Neodiprion lecontei: one gene and its partner. The main gene of each other region encodes a partner of the protein of the gene in region 2 in a complex. Links are inferred from orthologs where the notes say so. Each region holds a gene or a part of one and is shown on either strand. Other genes may lie near its edges.

Region 1 (3,930 bases), on a different chromosome or scaffold from region 2:
TGCGCTAAGAACGATATTTGATTAGAAAATAACTAGGTGTAACGATCTCGAAAGAGCCCACCATGATTTATTCGAATTCAACGAGGACGTGCGATTGCTATGACCCTTCGGTCTCAGCATTAGGCTTTCGACTACTCTTTGATAGTGTGCGGTTACTTTTGATTCTACATACCCGCGTGAACGGATCCTGTGTCGAGTCCATCCCAGACGAAACAACAACGCAACAGCGAAACACTCTTCACCGAGGATCACCAAAGAATGGTAAATTGTCTTGAAAATGCGGCAGCTCTCAGCGTTAGCGGAGTAGTTTTATTTGCACGAGCGAAATACTCTAGGAAGATAAGGAGAATAACCTCGCTAGGCCCCATGAGTCAACCGTCATCCCCTCAAGTTCAAATACATTTATTGGTATTCGAAGAGTACACTATTACGTGTAGATATAACCAAAACACGCTGCTGTATGTCAACATGCGTTAGAGGTAGATCTGGTACTATTGTGCAACACTGACCGCGAAATATGACACATGGACTGTAGCAGTTTGTGAAAACTTTTTAGAATGAATCAGTTCTTAACGATGAATGAAAAAATTTTTTTTGTTGTACAGATATTCATAAGTGAACGTGTATTTTTTCAACGAATCTCAGTGTGAAGTAATTATTTGGAATATTTATGAACAACTCGTATTATACTCAAGTCGCTGTATATAACATGAATTTTAGTGAATGTTACTTTCGAATTAAATTATTTAATTACCTTTCTCTGGTTCGATTCGGAGTCTTTGAAGAATCGAATTGACCAACTAGCCTGATAATTCCCTGATTTTGCATTTATATTCATAATAATTTTCCATGTCTCTATACAAGTGCATTTGTTGTGATGATTCAGAACTACGATGTTAGTCATAAATTATTGGTTTATTTTCTTTAGTCCGTATATGATATTGTGATATTGGAACTACAAAAGAATACGAGTTTAAGTGTTGATATCGAGCCAATACAACTTACTGATTTTACACGTTGGAGCAAACTAATTGAAAATATATTTTCCATCGTCGATGAATACAAAATCCATTTCAATTCATCATATTGAATCAACCATCTTCATTTTGCTCCTATATTTGAAAAGGCTTACTTTGATTTTGGAATCAATAGTCCGAAAAATCTTGAACCACTGTTCAAGACAATTACGTGAACAGAGAAATGTATGTTTTGTAAGAATAGCCGAATGAACAGTTTTATCGGAATTTACTAAATATTCGATTTAGCCGATAGATGAAAACAAGAGATTAACAAAGCTTCGAAAGTTTTTTCAAGTACTCATTTCTGGTTTATCTTTGAATCGAGCTGTTGGTAGAGCTAAAAAATTGTTTTAGATGGAAGTAACAAATTTTTTAAGTAAATGTTTCATGCGGACGTGTAATTTTGTGTTGCGCCTGCATATAGGCAACTGCGAGTATAAATCTCTGAAATGAAGGGCGGGTAACTGATTCGCGTAAAGCTAGGCGAAAGTATCCCATCTCAACTTGGCGTATTCTATCACGATCCTAACCTCAATCTTAAGTTTTCCTCATCCGAAATCATAACCTGTAATCTTAAAACTAGTTTTCCGTTGGAATAGGAGTAGAGTTGCAAGTACGCCAGAGGCGGAAAAAACAGCGGCGTGGTTTGTTAATATTAAATCCAAGTGATTGTTGATGATAGAGTAGAAAATGTTTGAAGCCCATAGTATAAATGCCGAACACAAGGACCTGATACATGACATAGCTTACGATTTTTATGGCCAACGCATGGCAACATGTTCCAGCGACCAGTTTGTCAAAGTGAGTAGAGCTTCCAACCGAATTTCGAATTTCTCGCTCATTTCACGCATATTCTCAACTTCATTCGCATAATCACATATTTTCTTCTCTACTCCTTCACTTTGCCAAAATTGATATTACAGCAGTATTCTCGTTCACGCTTTCATTTTGTTATGTTTTTTTCTTAGGTTTGGGACGAGGACGAACACGATAACTGGCACTTGACAGCATCATGGAAAGCACACAGCGGATCTGTGTGGAAAGTAACCTGGGCGCATCCCGAGTTTGGTCAGGTTTTGGCGACGTGTTCATTTGATAGAACTGCAGCGGTCTGGGAAGAAATTGGTATAAATTTCTGATCTTGGATTGGAAAACGATAAGCAGCAGAGCATTTGTATTGATTGTACGAATCAAATTTCAGTTGGCGAAGGTTCAGGCTCCGGTGAACGAGGGATGCGACATTGGGTGCGGCGGACCAACTTGGTCGACTCTCGGACGTCAGTAACAGATGTTAAGTTTGCGCCAAAGACTCTCGGTCTTCTCCTTGCGACCTGTAGCGCGGATGGAGTGATCAGAATTTACGAAGCACCAGATGTGATGAACCTGAGCCAGTGGACTCTGCAGCATGAAATTAGCTGTAAACTTCCATGCAGTTGTTTAACATGGAATCCTTCATTGTCGCGGTATATATAGTCAAAATTTTCTTCAATATTGCTGGAACTGAACACCTAAAAAATAAGGGGAAGTGCAGTGCTTTTCCTTTTTTTTCAGGCTCCACCCACCTATGCTCGCAGTTGGCAGCGACGACTCGAATGCATCAAGTGGCGGCAAGGTCTTCATATACGAATACTCAGAAAACAATAGACGGTGGACAAAAACAGAGACATTATCCAACGTCGTTGACCCCGTGCACGATATTGCATTCGCACCCAACTTGGGACGTAGTTTTCACACTTTAGCGATAGCCACCAAAGATGTACGGATTGTAACGCTAAAACCAATGCAGTAAGTTTCGCTAAAAGTGGGAAGAAATTGTTTTTAAGAAAATACTCTCGCATGATGATTGGCATTGAAAAATTCAAAAAAATTGCTCCTCAAGTGTTCTTTTTTCTCCTCAGAGATGCGGCTCAAAGCGGTTTGTCTCGGTTTGAAATTACGACTGCTGCCCAATTTGATGATCACTATTGTACGGTGTGGCGAGTGTGCTGGAACATAATGGGAACCATATTAGCGAGTTCAGGAGATGACGGCTGCGTTCGTTTATGGAAAGATAATTACGTGAATAATTGGAAATGTGTAGCAGTTTTGAAGGGAGATGGAACCTCGGCTCACAGTGCCGAAATTCCACAGATAGCAACACCTCCGAGTCACTCGATCTCAGGAACTCAGGCACCGCTATCCACCACAAGGTACTACAAGCTGGGTTCCATCAGTCATCCTAATCAAGTACCATGGCACTAATTGAGAACGATTAATATTTCCGTTTTGAATTATGTAATATAATTTATACATCATTACTTTTCTCTCACATTTGATCGATTGAGAACAGATTAGCGAGTAACGATTTGTGATCTTAAAATTTTCACCGCTTTACGTAATCATCCTTTCTTTTTCTCGTATCTCCTCATCAATTTTTTAGCAACAGATTTGATCATAAAGAATTGAAGAAATAAATCAATAGTCAATACGTCGTAAAAACGATCTGTTTGGATTAAATCACTTCTGTATTAAAATGGAGAAGTCTCTTTTCTCTTCCCCTTGTTTACGCACAGTTTTACACCAAAGTATTTAATTTATTTGAGATGTATAAAAATATCATTTTACACTTTACGTCAATAAGTTCCTTTACATCAGATCATAATGTCCGTTCTCAGTTTTGGAGCCATGTAAGTTTATCACAATTATTTAGCATTTAATGCATTCGATATTTGTATTGTAATGTGAGCCCAGTTTTTAATAAATATTATTCCTATAGACCCGAGCACCTTTTTATTTTCTCCTGTAACCCATCTTGCAATTTCTTTATTTTTCCTAAAACAGACGGCCAAATTTACTTACATCGAAATTTAGGAACGGGTGAGAGGGATAACATTTATTATAACCGTTGAATGTAAATTAAATCCATGAATTC
Region 2 (3,930 bases):
ATTTAGCACCTGAAGTCCGCGGAAAAGGAATGTAGGTATCCTGGTAGTTTGGAAATATGGCACCGGTCGTATTGAGAAAGTTAGCACTATGTGGCATCCTGTATCCCAGATGTTTACCCTCAGTCTCGTCGCTGACGCACATCTGTTTAGGCAGAATGAAATTGATCATCTTCAAATGATAAAAATCGAGAACTCGACAACCAAATCAAAAGGAAATACCTGTTCCAAAGTTGTGATCAGCTGTCTTAAACAGGGCTCTAAGCAGGATCGATTCTTCCTAACTCGTTGTTGAGCGGTCTGCTTCAGTACCTTCGAGAGCTTTGCCATCGCTGTATTGTCTATGGTTGTTCCAGGACAGAATTGAAAGGTCGGTGACGCATTGTATGGGTAATTACCAGGAAAGTTTACTTTCAATATAACATTGTAATTTTTATTTGACGCTGTGACCGTACAGCTTCGTTGCTCTGCATCCATAGCGTTCACCTGAGATGCGAAACACAGAATACATTACAAGTGAGTCTGGAAATAATCGAAACGATGCAAAAATCACGAGTAAATTTACCTCAATGTTTGGAATGTTCACATTGATCAATGAAAATTCTTGCTGTAACGTTTTTGGCTGAGTCGGCGATAAAACATCTTTGTCGCTTGTTGAGTAAGTGAGCGACTCTATGCCCATTTTACCTCCGTCAATTTTTGACATGACAAAATTCATTTCTCTGTCGGTCGGTGTATCTTGAAGCTCGAGCTGTTGCATAGAACGTAACGTCCCTGAGAATTTTATTAGCCAGTCATTGCAAATACAATAGCGATTCTCCTCATAATTTCGTACTTGAAGCTTGCGATACACTCACTCAGGTTATTGTCTTCTGTGTACGGAGTATAGACAGATGTTCCATCATCCAAATCGTGTCCGCATAGCTAAAACGTGCAAGGATTGATTTTATTTGTGTTATAAGTAATTTTTAGTAGCAACATCGTCGTTTCATGAGTCTTAGATTTTGTGAATTCTCAATACAGAGTTATGAACTGAATTATATGATGATTATAGTGATTACCTTTTGTAGAAATGGATCGATTTTGAATATTCTCAGGCATTGATCTTTGGACCAAGTTATCAATTCAAAGTCATTCGGTGCTGCGATAGGAAAATAAGTTATTGTTGCCCTTTGACATCATTTAATACGGCGCAATCAAATATTTTACTGCAAAAACCCCTCTTGGAATACCTTTTTTCTGATGCCTCCACTGAAACTCTAGCACAACGTCAGTGTGCCCTATAAACGTGTAAATTGGAGCTGTAAGATTCGAGGTGTTCCACAGTAGCAGACTATTTTCCCCTCGCCTGAGCTGTGGCACAACTATTGTAACCAGACCTTCCCCAAATGGCTACAAGCAGACGTAAATGAGATTTTGAAAATCTTTCACGACTTTCTTGCAATTATTTGATACAGTTAGCAATACAGATGATTAAATTTTACCGTGTATCTGGCTCTCCACACAGGTGCACTTGTCGTCAAAATGCTTTCTGCTCTTCGTGGATTACTGACATCAAATATTTTCACTGTACAGTCCTGACTAGAAGTCGCCAATTGATTTTGTTGAAAAGGACACCAGTCCAGGCCATGTATCTTGAAAGACAAGAGGCCACTTATCCCAAATGTACCAAGTCAGTAAATAATACGAAGATTGTTCAAACGATTGTGAAAATTCACAACATTCGGACGTTCGTGCTATACATTTTAAACCAAGCACCACACAAGTTACAGTTTCCCCTGTTCAATGTCCTCGGTTTATAAGCATTCACACAAAAATAATTGGGAAAGAAAACCAAACTAATACCTTAGTTAAATGAGCAGCTATGTACTGCATCGGACTATTCCCTTTCCTCTGGTCCCATATTTTGATGTCGCCATCATGCGCAGTGGCCACAATGTGTGGGGACAGACAGTTCCATCTGACCTGAGATGCTCCGGCTAAAATGAGATTTTTCATCAAACAACTATTATGTAACAATTGTTGAAACATAAAAACAAAATTGGGACTTTTACCAACAGCAGATAGCGACAAGCAGGGCCTACGCTGATCTCTAATGTCCCAAATGTGTATGAATGTGTCTATGCTGCACGAGGCGAGAATGTCAGGCTCAGTGGGATGCCAGTTCAAGTCACTAACAACACGCGTATGTGCTCTGAGGCTATGCGTCGTTGTGAGATCACGTCCATCTCCACCAACAAAATTGAGTATTTCGACTCTGTTGTTACTCTGTAGAAAGAAAACAATGAGCCTCTCCTTATTTATCGATGCTTTTTCTACTTACGGATATAGCGCAAAGGTGACAATTCTGAGAGTTGGGATTCCATTCGGCAGAGCCAACTTCGTACTTGCTCTGACGTTGGAATTTTCGCAGGGTGTCCGTGCCTTCGTCCAGGTGCTTGACGGCAAAGCATCTTCGCCTGCAGAGCCAATGAATCGGTATATTTGAGAGGCTTTATAGGAATCTGGTCGAAAGCATTGAAACTCACCCGGCCAGAAGAACGAAGCTCCCGGTTGTGTCAACCGCCATAGTATTGGCCTGGTGCATGTGGAGAAAGCTAATTATTTGAGGTTTGGGGCGAAGCTCGATTACAAAGATCTTGAGCAACCGTGGTTAGTTTGAGTTAGTTTTTTAGTGGGGGCGACGCGAGTCGCTTGGCTTACCTGCAAATCCCGGTGCTCGGCGACCACATAATCGCTACCCCAACGTTTTGACATTTTCAGAAATGACAGGGGACCTCGACATCGTTTGATGAAATTTGAGGTTATAATGAATCGTTGTGTACGCATGTAAATATTTAAACTTGTGACAGAGTGCAGCACTATCTGATCGGCATGACAGAATCCCTGTGTAATAGGATGAATTAGGCTCGATTGGTATTGGATTGGTACAGTTTGCGGGTGTCATTTTACGTTACAATCAAAGCAAAAAACAAATATAATTACATTTCGTTCTTTTTTAAATAATCATAACGTACACTTCCCAATTTAATTATTTTGGTTTTGAACATTTTAGAATTACATATTTCAGACTTCAAGAACTCGCGGTCATCATTCAACATCCGTAGGGTTGGCAACATGCATCGCTATTCGATGAATTCAAAATCGAAAAAACAGTTGCCGGCAGAATTTCAAATGGCGACTATCCGTGACGGCTTCAACGCAGCGCTGTTTCGAATAAATTTCGTGAGCTTTTGGAACGAACAGCGGGCTTAGCATTGATCAGAATATACCTACATAAACCTTTATTCAAACGTGCGAATGAATATCAGGTTAACTGTCAGATGTGGCTGTGCAGGTATCGCGGATTCCATTTCCCCGAGTTCGGAAAGATTTGCTAATGGTAAATGTTCCGTGTACGTAATAATACGTCTATAATGGTGTGTAAATATCAGCCAGCAGTGACAAACATTGAGTTCATAATTCCCCGAGTGTCTGAGATGGTTAACCAAAAGGTTGGAATAATAAAGAGTGAGTCAAGTTTGTACGCGCGATATAAGTAATCCTTGCTGTGTTTGCGGTTTCGAGTAAGTTTGAAATTCTAACTGACAACGTGCATTTTTAGTGATTGAGAGTGGACACACCGGAGCAAATCACGGACGTCGTGGGAGCCAACTGCTATCAACAGTAACGTGAAATCTTATTTCCACTAAAATCATGCGCGTTAACAATCGCGGCAGCATCTTGCAAACCTTCCGATACTTAATTCTTTCCAATATCATTGTGATTTTTTCATCTCGACCCTGTTCCACGAGACAAAAAAAGTCAAGAAAGATCGATTCTTATCCAATATCAAAATCATAAAGCACAATGGAGCTACCAGCTATGAATAAAACTCAATGGTGAAAGTCTCAAGTATCTATACTAGACCCAGTTTCATGGAGGAGGAGGATA

The links.
Region 1: GATOR complex protein WDR59 (region 2) and nucleoporin SEH1-A share a complex: the UniProt entries of both Drosophila melanogaster proteins name them as parts of the GATOR complex. The link is inferred for Neodiprion lecontei from reciprocal best matches to the Drosophila melanogaster genes Wdr59 and Nup44A.

Annotation. Positions count from the first base shown.
Region 1 is NC_060260.1:39,269,570-39,273,499, forward strand, and holds the start of nucleoporin SEH1-A, read left to right. Parts: upstream 1-1,535; 5' UTR 1,536-1,709; coding exon 1,710-1,820; intron 1,821-1,987; coding exon 1,988-2,144; intron 2,145-2,220; coding exon 2,221-2,482; intron 2,483-2,570; coding exon 2,571-2,804; intron 2,805-2,917; coding exon 2,918-3,208; coding exon of another isoform or gene 3,209-3,260; exon of another isoform or gene 3,261-3,775; intron 3,776-3,930. Other genes in the region: anillin-like protein 1, read right to left, coding at 1-4, 173-202. UniProt on the Drosophila melanogaster protein: Probable component of the nuclear pore complex (NPC). Involved in maintaining the localization of another nucleoporin Mgtor to the nuclear envelope of early meiotic female germline cells.
Region 2 is NC_060264.1:23,548,811-23,552,740, reverse strand, and holds the start of GATOR complex protein WDR59, read right to left. Parts: upstream 2,852-3,930; 5' UTR 2,827-2,851; coding exon 2,701-2,826; intron 2,576-2,700; coding exon 2,526-2,575; intron 2,457-2,525; coding exon 2,321-2,456; intron 2,266-2,320; coding exon 2,052-2,265; intron 1,977-2,051; coding exon 1,843-1,976; intron 1,632-1,842; coding exon 1,482-1,631; intron 1,390-1,481; coding exon 1,230-1,389; intron 1,139-1,229; coding exon 1,059-1,138; intron 922-1,058; coding exon 855-921; intron 772-854; coding exon 563-771; intron 484-562; coding exon 220-483; intron 143-219; coding exon 1-142. UniProt on the Drosophila melanogaster protein: A component of the GATOR complex, which functions as a regulator of the amino acid-sensing branch of the mTORC1 signaling pathway.